Linked DNA regions of Arabidopsis thaliana. The protein of the gene in region 1 interacts with the protein of each later gene in a pairwise test. Each region holds a gene or a part of one and is shown on either strand. Other genes may lie near its edges.

The links. Proteins that work in one complex are often made in the same cells at the same time.
Region 2: the proteins of NF-YC10 (region 1) and NF-YB3 interact in binary tests that used the Arabidopsis thaliana proteins (3 or more experiments, as listed by UniProt).
Region 3: the proteins of NF-YC10 (region 1) and NF-YB11 interact in binary tests that used the Arabidopsis thaliana proteins (3 or more experiments, as listed by UniProt).

The regions. Positions count from the first base shown.
Region 1 is NC_003070.9:2,472,638-2,476,815, forward strand, and holds NF-YC10 (nuclear factor Y, subunit C10), read right to left. Parts: upstream 2,492-4,178; 5' UTR 2,274-2,491; coding exon 1,854-2,273; intron 1,411-1,853; coding exon 1,326-1,410; coding exon of another isoform or gene 1,315-1,325; exon of another isoform or gene 1,089-1,314; coding exon 1,047-1,088; intron 960-1,046; coding exon 886-959; 3' UTR 528-885; downstream 1-527. Other genes in the region: AT1G07985 (uncharacterized protein), read left to right, coding at 2,871-3,305.
Region 2 is NC_003075.7:8,342,756-8,345,893, reverse strand, and holds NF-YB3 (nuclear factor Y, subunit B3), read right to left. Parts: upstream 1,546-3,138; 5' UTR 1,232-1,545; coding exon 746-1,231; 3' UTR 570-745; downstream 1-569. Other genes in the region: AT4G14530 (agamous-like MADS-box protein), read left to right, coding at 2,011-2,418; AT4G14520 (DNA-directed RNA polymerase II-like protein), read right to left, coding at 2,821-3,138. UniProt on the Arabidopsis thaliana protein: Component of the NF-Y/HAP transcription factor complex. The NF-Y complex stimulates the transcription of various genes by recognizing and binding to a CCAAT motif in promoters.
Region 3 is NC_003071.7:11,744,412-11,748,232, reverse strand, and holds NF-YB11 (nuclear factor Y, subunit B11), read left to right. Parts: upstream 1-1,777; 5' UTR 1,778-1,857; coding exon 1,858-2,027; intron 2,028-2,046; exon of another isoform or gene 2,047-2,206; coding exon 2,207-2,325; intron 2,326-2,498; coding exon 2,499-3,037; 3' UTR 3,038-3,252; downstream 3,253-3,821. Other genes in the region: ATCOAE (dephospho-CoA kinase family), read left to right, coding at 1-146; AT2G27480 (Calcium-binding EF-hand family protein), read right to left, coding at 348-458, 556-574, 665-840, 949-995, 1,089-1,422; AT2G27460 (sec23/sec24 transport family protein), read right to left, coding at 3,366-3,577, 3,662-3,821. UniProt on the Arabidopsis thaliana protein: Component of the NF-Y/HAP transcription factor complex. The NF-Y complex stimulates the transcription of various genes by recognizing and binding to a CCAAT motif in promoters.

The DNA.
Region 1 (4,178 bases):
ATTCATACCCATCATATTATTTGAATTTTTAGTTTTACCCCCAAACTCTTATTTTGGATTATTTATTTTATAACAGAATTATAAAATGTGTAAAAAGAAAAGAAAATGTGGAAAGTTTTTTCAAATTGGTCTAGAAGAATGATTTTAAAAACCTTTTTTTGATAATTGGCTTGTTTTACTAATATTATAATTTGATTAGTAAGAATAATTATGGTAAAAATATTTTCTAAATATTTTCTGACCAATTGTCCTATAATTATAACTAGATTTTAACTCAGCGGTACACCGCGGAAACAATTTATTTTTTAATGTTAGTATATATAAAAGTTTACAAATTGTATCTAACTATAAAATATTTTTATTTTATAGTTTACAATTATTATTAAGTAACGTCCTGTCAAACCCGTCCAGTAAAAAAAACCATTTATTTTATTAATGTTGATCTTATTTATGATATGTTTATGAATCATTGTCTAAATATTTTGTAATTTTGTCTCTGTTTAGTTAATGTGGAGAGATTTTGGAAAGATTGTTAAATGTCAAATATTTAATTCGAAGATTTTCTTTCTAATTATCAAATACAAACATCAAAATCCAGTGGCAGCCATTGTAAATAAGTCCAACTACAAAATTTATTTCACAAAATGGCTGCAAAAATGTATATATAGATACTAAAGAAAGATATTAGAATTCCGACAACTCTTACAAATTTTAACTTGAAACAAGAAAAAAAATGTATACATTCTAGAAATCAAATATGTGCAATCTCAGTAGTGGTTAATAAGAAAGGTGAAGATCGGGCGGATGGAACCTATGAAGTATAAACCAGGACAGGGACACAAATTTGAATCCAAATGGTTCAGTTCGATTCCAACCGGATTTATTTCAGCCTGCATCTGTCATGCCTCTTTCCCATTCCTCCAACGCGGCCTCTGCTTTAAGTTTCTCGGGAACACTATCTGCATTCAAGATATTACAGGTATTAAAATGCTGTTCGTAAACCACATGGAACTCATAAAACGAATACTTCAGAGGTTATTAAGTACCTGCAAGGAACTCGTATCTCTGGTCGTTACTCACTACGGATGCTGCCAACGAGTAGAAATGACAGTGTCATCAATTATGTTAGGAGTGCAACAAATCTTGCAAGTGATACGAACGGATTAACTCATTATCTAAACTCTTCCTAAGACTAACTACTGGCCCTTGTGCAGAAGCCAGAAATCCTAAGTTCAGCAATTGGTGCAGCAGCATGAGATTTTCGACATGGGATTCAGTATTGAGGTAACCAGATATTGGCAAATAGGGACGAGATTAGAGCTTACAGAGGTGTTTGTAGTGGATGAATTTCTTTTTGTCCTTGACGGAACTATCATAAGCTTCTTCAGAAAACCGCTCAATGAACATCTCCTTCAATCACAAAAACCAGTTAATGTACTGTAAACGCAATGAACATCAATTTCGATGAACACAAGATGAAATCAAAAGAAAGAAAAAACAATGCCAAGTTCCAATACAGGAAAATTAAACACTCATCACTTAAGCTTTGAAAATATGAACCTAAATCATATATAAGGACTTTCTCATGTGTTAGGTGTCTACAAGTTCTGGATGTAAAAGCTAAACCTATGACAATCAAGCACAGTAACTACGGTTTCATCAAACACACATGGAGATGAAGCAATAACGTTAATTCCCGGCTTAATTAACAGAAACAATCTCATTACTGTAGCAATTTGCGAGATTATAACGCCCAATTAACACTGACTAGCAATTGATACTCCCAAATTCATCAAAAACCATGTGAAATTAAGTTCCTCAAGCTAAATTTATATGTCTAATTAGTACTATACCGTGGCTTTGTTGACAAGAAATACAGCATCCTGCATAATCTGAGGAGCAGAATTATCGCTTCTCATGATCCGCCGAATCCGATTCATCGGAAACTTGATCTTAGCATCTTCCGCGCCTCCATCGTCCTCTTCTCGATTTTTACTCGTCTTCGTCGGAATTCCTACACTCTTTCCGTTACCCCTCTTGCTCACGACGCCGTTACTTTTCTTCGCCTCATCGCCTCTTATTGCTTCTTCCACAGAGTCACTGCTCGATGATTCTGAGATCTCGTAAATCTCCGGCTTCTTCTTCACAATGTTAACCTTGTTCGACGTCTTCTTCGTTCTGGAACCGGAGCTGCGTTTACTCCGACCACTCGCTTTATTGACGACGACATCGCTCCTCGCCTTCTTCTCCTTGGGTTTCTTTGACGACACCATTAATTTTTTAGAACTACAGTATGTTTCACCCTTTCGCCTGAATAAATCGATGGATATTTACATGGGCTTATTTGTTTGAGCCTTTTAGGCCCATTTATCATATGATCAATTTAAGGAATGGACATGGTGATGTTGAGGAATGAAGATGCATGACGACTACTTCAAAATAAATTATTGGACATGCTTTCACTGTTTCGCATACACCTCGTAAAACATTGTATAGTTTATGGAGAAATAAATAAATTAGGGTAAATGTACTTGGGATAAGATAATGTTTTTATACAAGCATCCAAAATACATTATCTTGTTCCCGACATAATGTAAAGAAATTTTAGGGATTAGATAAGGAAGAATGGGTAATGTTGGAGTATGAGACAGAAGAGGTGTCCGCAAGCTGGAACCACCACGTGTTATCAACAACACGTGTGAGTCTCCATGAACTCTCTCTGCAATATTTAAACGTGGCCTAGCTCGTGTTCTTTCAATCTCCAATTATTACTCTATTAATAAGAGAAGACGAGTTTTGCTTTCGATACTGTCTTTCAACTATTCCGACACAACCAAAGCTTCTGGAAACGTTGTCGTTTGTTATCAATAATGGCTGTTGTAGAAGAACCGATACTTTCAAGATTGGATCGTATTGATTTCATGGTGAGGAAGTTAGAGGAGATGAAAGGAAGCTCGCCTAGAAGCTCGAGCCCATCGACTCCATCTAGTGGGACTCAGCCATCGTCAATGGATCTGTCGTCACCGAGGAGCATAGGGAAGGTACACTGCCGTTCGATGGAACAAGTCAGGGAGGAGACTGAGCGGAAAGGAACTTTGCTAGAGAGACTTAATAATGTAGAGGAGCAAGTGCTTAAGCTGTGTTCACAGTTTGAGGAAGAAGTTGAAGAAGAGAGGAAGAGAGAAGATAAGACGGATAAGGAAAAGAAGACCCCGAAGAAGAAGAAGGGATTGAGGAAGCTGGTTGATAAAGTTGTTGGATCTTCTTCTCCCACTAATATCCATTCCAAGAGCTGGCGTTGTTGAGTCATTGTAGTACTTTATTACATCATCATGTATACTTCAACGTACCACGTTTAAATGAAAGCTTCTCTTCTTTTTTCTTTGTTGAAGCGCTAGTGGAAAAAAATATCTTTAGGTCTCTCACTCTCTTGTTTGATCGTTTGTTTGTTGAGGTTTTTTGTTGTCCAGTATGCACTTTTTAAGTGAAAACAACAATGAATTTTCAGTGTACTTTCTATTTTTCAGAGTGCACTTTTCAAGTGAAACAATGAAAATTTGAAGGAAAAACAAGTACACACCTATAAATGATTAGAAAAACGAAGATGTGTGTAGTCATTTCCATAAACGTAACGATAAATTCTCAGTGGAGATGGTTAAAATAAACCGTAAATAGTTAAAATTTAACAAATGCCCAAGGTTTTGTGTAGAATAGAACAATTTAATTTTATATCTGTTCTCCGGGTTTTCTTGCTTCCCGATCAAATTGGGGTGTCAACATTTTGATCTAAAAATCAGTGACATCATATATGAGACTTTTCAACGTGTTTTTTTTTGTCTAAAAAAATTTCATCATTCTCTTGTCAAGTATTATGTAAGGTTAACAAATCTCCTCATAAATTTTTTAAAGATCGAAAATTTTCTAAAAATATGTAAACTTTTTTTCGTCTATGGTTTCTTAAGGTGTGAAGAAAAAGAGGCTGTTTACGGAGTTCACTCTGTTTGACACTTCAACCAACTTTTGTCTTTATATGTTTTTATTCTACACCATTAAATCAAACTTAAGACAATCATATGCATTTCTTTATCCACAAAATTGATTTGCTTATTGTACTTCATCATCCCGTTGTAAAATTTATAAGCACAATTTTCGCCAACTATTTATTCCGCAAATTGAAC
Region 2 (3,138 bases), on another chromosome or scaffold:
TTCCTGATTTTACCTGGCTGATGTTTTGTTTAGTTTTTTGATAGAAACTTAGTTTTGATATTTGAGTATTGCTTGTAAGAAAAAATCTTTGAATATTTGTGGCATAACATGGACTAATGGAAAACCCAAGCTCTTAAAAACCTGGACTCAAATATGAAATTTTCGCATCACAACACTTTAAAAGAAAAACTAATATTACATGCTGTGGTTTCGGGCCTGGAGGAATTACGGGCTTCGGCCCAGAACCTCCTGAATTTCAAAAAAAAAAAAAAAAAAAAAAAAGATCAAAGATCAAAGATCAAAGGTTACGTTTTAGATATGCCCTTGATTACATCTCATGTTCCCTGCATCAAAGTAGAAAAAGTTTTTCAATGACTCTTTTTAGCTTGATGCTATAATTATATTCCCACTACAATTTTTTAGGAAACATTTTACTCTAAAAAAAATGTATGTCTCTCTCATTTGATTTTTCCTCCTAATTCAACCATAAACTTCGATATCCTAGTTTACTTTTGTTACTTTCATCTTTCACGAATAAACACCCTAACCTTCTTTTATTCTTTTTTTTTGAAAAAAGTAACACCCTAACCTTACGAATCATAAATTTAATATTTATTTTGTTACGTTAGTGGGTTGAACCTAGTTTTAAAAAAAAAATTCTGTAAACATTATACTAAAAGTTAAACATATATATATATATATCATTAATTAATAAAAATGAAAATTTGCTTTTATCATTTTACAATTAAGAAAAATGATGGGAAAATTGATGTCCCATCGTAGTCACCATGCCACCACCGTACATCGGAGCTCCTCCACTTCCACTTCCAGCTCCACCGCCTCCTCCTCCACCTTCCTTATCGCCTTGTCTCCCTGCCGTAGTAGTCTTCTCTCCTTCCACCTCCCTATACTTTTGCAGATAAACCTTGAGAGGCTCCACGTAGTCCTCAAACCCTAGCGTAGTCATCGCCCAAAGAAGATCGTCACCGTTGATTGTCTTCCTCTTCTCTCTCTGACACTTGTCAGAAGCCTCACCGGTGATGAAACTTATGAATTCCGATACACACTCTTGAACCGTTTCTTTAGCATCCTTAGAGATTTTTGCGTTCGCAGGAAGTGCTTTCTTCATGATCCTGCTAACGTTAGCGATCGGTAGAAACCTATCTTGCTCACGTGTCGAAGCATTTCCACCGTCTTTGTGTCCTCCTGAATCGTTGTCCGAATCCGCCATCTTTAGATCGAGGAGACAAAAGGTCGAGAAAGAGAGATAGATGTTTTGGGTCCGTTGGATCAGAGAGGATAATAATCGTATCGTGATGACACGTGGGTAGTTATAGGTCGATTGTTTGTCGATAAGATTATTACAAGTGGATGTTATTTGGATAGAAAAGGAAGAGAGAGACTTGATAACCGGTTCTGTTTTTTCGGTTTGCCTTTATTATAAAAGACTCTTGAGTTCTGGTTATATATGTACTTTTGGTTTTTGTCGTTTATATCATGAAATCAAAAAACAAAACCCCTAATTCAGATTTTATTAAATTGATTTGGGCCAAAAGAAGACAAAATTTTGAATTTCCTCTTGCAATGGGCCTGATACGGGCCTAGATCCCTCCTATAAAACCACCGACATTTTTATATATACAATTGTTTCTAGGTTTCTTGTTACATACACTATCTATAAAGAGAGAGAGGTAGTGTCCCTCAAAATCTCTGTGAAATCAAAGAAAGCAGAATGGGAGGACTAAAGAGAAGAATTTCGATTGAGAAGATTCAGAAGAAAGAGTCACGAGCCGTTTGTTTCTCCAAACGTCGTACCGGTCTTTACAGTAAAGCCGCGGAGCTATTATGTCTTCTCTCCTCCGATTCACAGGTTGCGATCTTGACGACTCCTTGTTCTTCCAACTCTCACGTCTCCTTCTACTCCTTCGGCCATTCCTCTGTTGATTCTGTTGTTTCCGCTTTCCTCAAGGATCAGGGTCTTGTTCGTAAAGAGAATCTAGGGTTAGAGTTATGGTGGAAGACGAGAGTCTTGCTAAATCGGAGGATTCGGAGGAGTTGAGAAAAGCGATTGAGTCGATGTCTACGATGTTGAGAGATCTGAAGGAATTGGAATCTGTGAATAATTATCGAAGAGATCATCAAGAGGACGTCAAGATTAACAACGACATCAAGATTAAGAATCTTGTTTCACACGAAACCCTAAATCTTCAGTTAAGTTCTGCAACTTTTGGCGTTCCTGATGATGATCGTCTCAAAGAAGAAACGGAGATGGTTGTATTCGATGATCAGATCTTGGCGATTTTTGAGAGTAACGACAAACCTACAGGAAACTTGGAAGATCAAGAGATAGATCTTGATCAATTCCTAGATTTTGATCAACTCATAGATTTCGAGGGTTTGATCGATGGCGATTACTAGAGCACTCAAGAGTATCCAGAGCCTGCTGAGACTCGTCTTTTGATGAATTCGAAGATGGAAGATGTCTCGATGGTGATGAAAAATCCAAATCTGTGGTCTGATTCACAGAGGTTTAGATGAAAGATGATCCTTTTCAATGAGTTACCACACCATTGATGCAGTTTGAAGATAGCTCAGCAACTAATTTTCTTATATGCTTTTGTATGTATTAGTATTATATCAATATGTAACTCTGTCGGTATTGACCAATTGAAATTAATAGAATGTAATTGGTTCTGTCAACTTTGTTTACAAATATTTCTTGTCGATCCAGTTTAACACGAAACAACCCCAACGAATCTGAGGTTAACCTAAAAGCAAAAAAGTATCTAAAGACTTTTAACTTTTGGTGCCTTGTTTGGGTTACATGTATGGCTCATCTGACCCTGTAAGAGAGATGGGACCAAATGAACCATTGCCTTCCAAAGTTGCAAGAACATAATAGTCGTTTCTTCTCTTGTGTGGTCTCTCTTTAAACCGCACAGCCAACACCTGAAACCGCACAACAACTCCAACAGCAATCTTTGAGAGGTCGTCTTTCTGAAAATGCGGTTTCTCGTCCTCCGACAATGGTGAGTGGACATAATGATAATGTGGCATTTTCAAGAGTGAGAGGTATGCGTATCTGAGTGGTCCTGACCTGATAAAAGCTCCGTTCCACAACACTTTTTTTACAGTCCC
Region 3 (3,821 bases), on another chromosome or scaffold:
ACCAACAGTTCGAGAAGGTTTTGATTGAAATTAGAAGACCATTGACGTGGATCGAGTTTTGGCGTTCAAGGCAAGGAGCCTTCTCGGTCCTTGGTTCAGTGATTTTAGGATTATCTGTTTGCAAACAGCTCAAAATTGGCTCTTAACATTTCACTTCTGTTACTGCTAAAAAACTTGTTATAATCTTAAAGCTTTGATTTATTATTCTCTTGCTCTCTTCAGCATTAGCTTATTACACTATTCACTAGTTTGAATTCACTCTCCTATTCAGTCAGTACTCAGGCATCTATTATCTATATACAACTTGAATCTGTGATTGAGAAAAAGAAAGAAGTAGCAAGTGACCATTAATCATAGGTGGCGATGAACGGAATGACCATCAACATGAAGACATCGTAAGAGAGCGTTGCGTAGCCTGTGTAACCAGGGTCGTTCTCCCTGAACTTCTCTGTCAATCCCTGTTAATAAGCATACGACACATTTTAAACAATTTCAAGTGGTTTAGATTCATGTAAACACATTGTCGAAATTCTCATGGAGGTTAAAAGATCATACCTTCACAATCATCCCACACCTGCAGAACAAAATGAGGGAAACAAACCGATGATGCTTAGTATACAAATTAAGAACCGCAAGAATCGATGAAAACATACAGAAAACTTACTCGAGGAAGCTGTCGAAACATAGGTCAACAGTTTTGCCAGTCCCATCATCAAACTGAGATACGATAAGCTGGTGAACCGAGGTTGGAAGCACGCACCCGAGATTATAGAAAGCGTCTCTGAGCTGGGTAGAATTCATCTTTCCACTCCTATCTCTATCGTACCTGTTAAATATTGCCTACAAAAGAACACACATTGAAAAGTAACACTCCATTTTTAACTTTTAAGGCATAGAAGAATACACACATTGCCTCAACTAGATTGATCCACATAAGTGTTCACTTACACGCCATTGCGCAAGGCAGTTCCATAACTCAACATACTCCTTAGGACCTACATAAAAAGGTAGAAACATGGCTATTTTGTAACATCATTCATATTTGAAATCAAAAAGCCAATTTCAAAAGCTGCAATAAGTGAATTTACCAAGCCGAAGCAGAGAATCTACAGGAATCTTGTAAATAAACAACAGCAACCTAATCGTTCTGTTACTAATTCCATCGTACCCAGATAACGACAACGCTTGCCGGAGCTCCGATTCTTCGAGAAATCCGCTCCGGTTTCTATCCGCCGACTCAAAGCTCCTCACAATCTCCGGATGCGTTTCCGGGGAAAACATCCCGGAGTAAGAGCTGAATTGCTGAGTTGGTTGATATGATGGATACGCGTAAGTGTATCTACTTTCACCATCGTGCTGCTGCTGAACGAACGATTCTGGTAGCTCCGGTGCCGACGGTGCGTAGGCGTTTGAGTAAGACATTAATCAGAGTATGAAATTCTTAGAAATGGCTCGAATTCGGAGAATCTGGTTATTCGAAGATGTCTCAAATTCCAGAGGTTGAAGACGACTCCGATTCTTATTCGTGTTTTGATCGAATTTATTAGTATTACGATTGGACGGTGAAGATTTAATAAAGGTTATCCAACGGTGAGATTGACAACGTGCTCATAACTCTTTAGTGCTTATCAATTTGAATAATGGGCCGATTTGCTAGTACGATTTGACGGCTAGGATTTTGTCAATCAATCCAACGGGTAATATTGAGCGGCGTGGTCATAACTCTTTAGTGCTTATAAACTTGAATATGGGCTTTTAAATATTTTAATAGGCTGATCAGCTTACTGGGCCGATGTGTTTTGTTGTATTATTAACATAAAGGCGGGAAAGACGGCGACTGAGAGAGAGGAGAGAAGAATGGAGTCGGAGAAAGTGGTGGTGGACGAGCTGCCGCTAGCTATTGTGCGCCGGGTGGTGAAGAAGAAGCTGTCGGAGTGTTCGCCGGATTATGACGTCAGTATTCACAAGGAAGCTTTGCTCGCATTCTCAGAGAGTGCGAGGATCTTCATCCACTACCTCTCCGCCACGTATGTACACTTCACAAACCCTAACTTTTTTTCGAATTTCTGCACTATGATAGTGAATGATTTGGAATGTTCCAAGTTTGGGTTTATGTTAATGTGATTCAATTGATGAATGTTAGTGTTTGTGAATTGTGATCGATCGAATTGATGGATTTAGTTTAATTTGGGGGTGAATGATATAGGGCAAATGATTTTTGTAAAGATGCAAGAAGACAAACTATGAAGGCTGATGATGTGTTTAAGGCATTAGAAGAAATGGATTTTTCAGAATTTTTGGAGCCGCTTAAATCTTCTCTTGAAGGTAAGTGTTTTGTTCGGATGAAGATCCTATTGTCACTATCTGTTGTTACTTTCATGGAGTGTTAGTAGAAATGGCTTAGGTTGTGATTTGTCTTGTTATGGACACTGGCCTAGGTGTGTGCACTTTGAGCTTATGATGTCAATCCTAGTGTAATCCACATGACTGGTTTTCAGATTTTAAGAAGAAGAATGCGGGGAAAAAGGCGGGTGCTGCAGCTGCTTCGTATCCTGCTGGTGGAGCTGCTTTGAAATCTTCAAGTGGAACTGCTTCGAAGCCCAAAGAGACGAAGAAGAGGAAACAGGAAGAACCATCTACGCAAAAGGGTGCAAGGAAAAGCAAAATAGATGAGGAAACTAAGAGGAATGACGAGGAGACTGAGAATGACAACACGGAAGAAGAGAATGGAAACGATGAGGAGGATGAGAATGGAAACGATGAGGAAGATGAGAATGACGATGAAAATACAGAAGAGAATGGGAATGATGAGGAGAACGACGATGAAAATACGGAAGAGAATGGGAATGATGAGGAGAACGAGAAGGAGGATGAGGAAAACAGCATGGAAGAGAATGGGAATGAGAGCGAAGAGAGCGGGAATGAGGACCATAGCATGGAAGAAAATGGGAGCGGGGTTGGTGAAGATAATGAGAACGAGGACGGGAGCGTAAGTGGAAGTGGTGAAGAGGTAGAGAGTGATGAAGAAGATGAATGAACTCAAGGTTATATTTTTGCTAAGAACATGTTTTCAGGTTTATGTTGGAGATTAGCTTGTAAGCTTGAAGCAGTGGTTGTGGCCATGAGCATGTAATAGACTAACATATCTTTTTGCTCTTTGGCTCTAGTGTTACCAAATATGTAAGTCAAAGTTTAGAAAATGAAGTTTTGCAACAAAATTTTAGCTTAATTATTCATTTTGATTAAGAGAGCAAAAAAGTTGGGATGCTAGTCTAAAGCAAATGTTACAACAAGAAGAGTAAAACTCTGACACAGTTGAAAATTTTGAGTTTGGATGTATAATAAACTAGAGGGTCATTTGGCTTTCACTTCATGTATTCAGTGACACGCTGCGAAATATCATCGAGGAAAGACACGAAACCCATGGCGCTAGCAAAACCATTACCGTCCACATCTTGTTCTTCTATAAGATAGTTCTCAAAGACAGTAGCATCGTCTCGTCCTCCTCGGATAAACACTAGTTTTGGTGTGATGCTCCTTTCTTGCTTCACTTTATTTATGGTCTGCCTCAATAAACCTGTAAGATATAAGTTTTCGAATCAACATAGTCTCAAAGATCTAAAGGTGGTTGAACTGGATTTCATTTGGTGAGAAAACTTACAGTCTTGAGGTGGAGGGAAAGGTATTGACGGGTCTGCTGTTGATGAGTAGAAGACTATCAAAGTGGTATATGCATCTAGGAAAAATATCGGACTACCACTTGTTATCAATGCTGCACGGCTCAACGAATGACGCGGATATGCCAGTGTATCCGGTGTTGA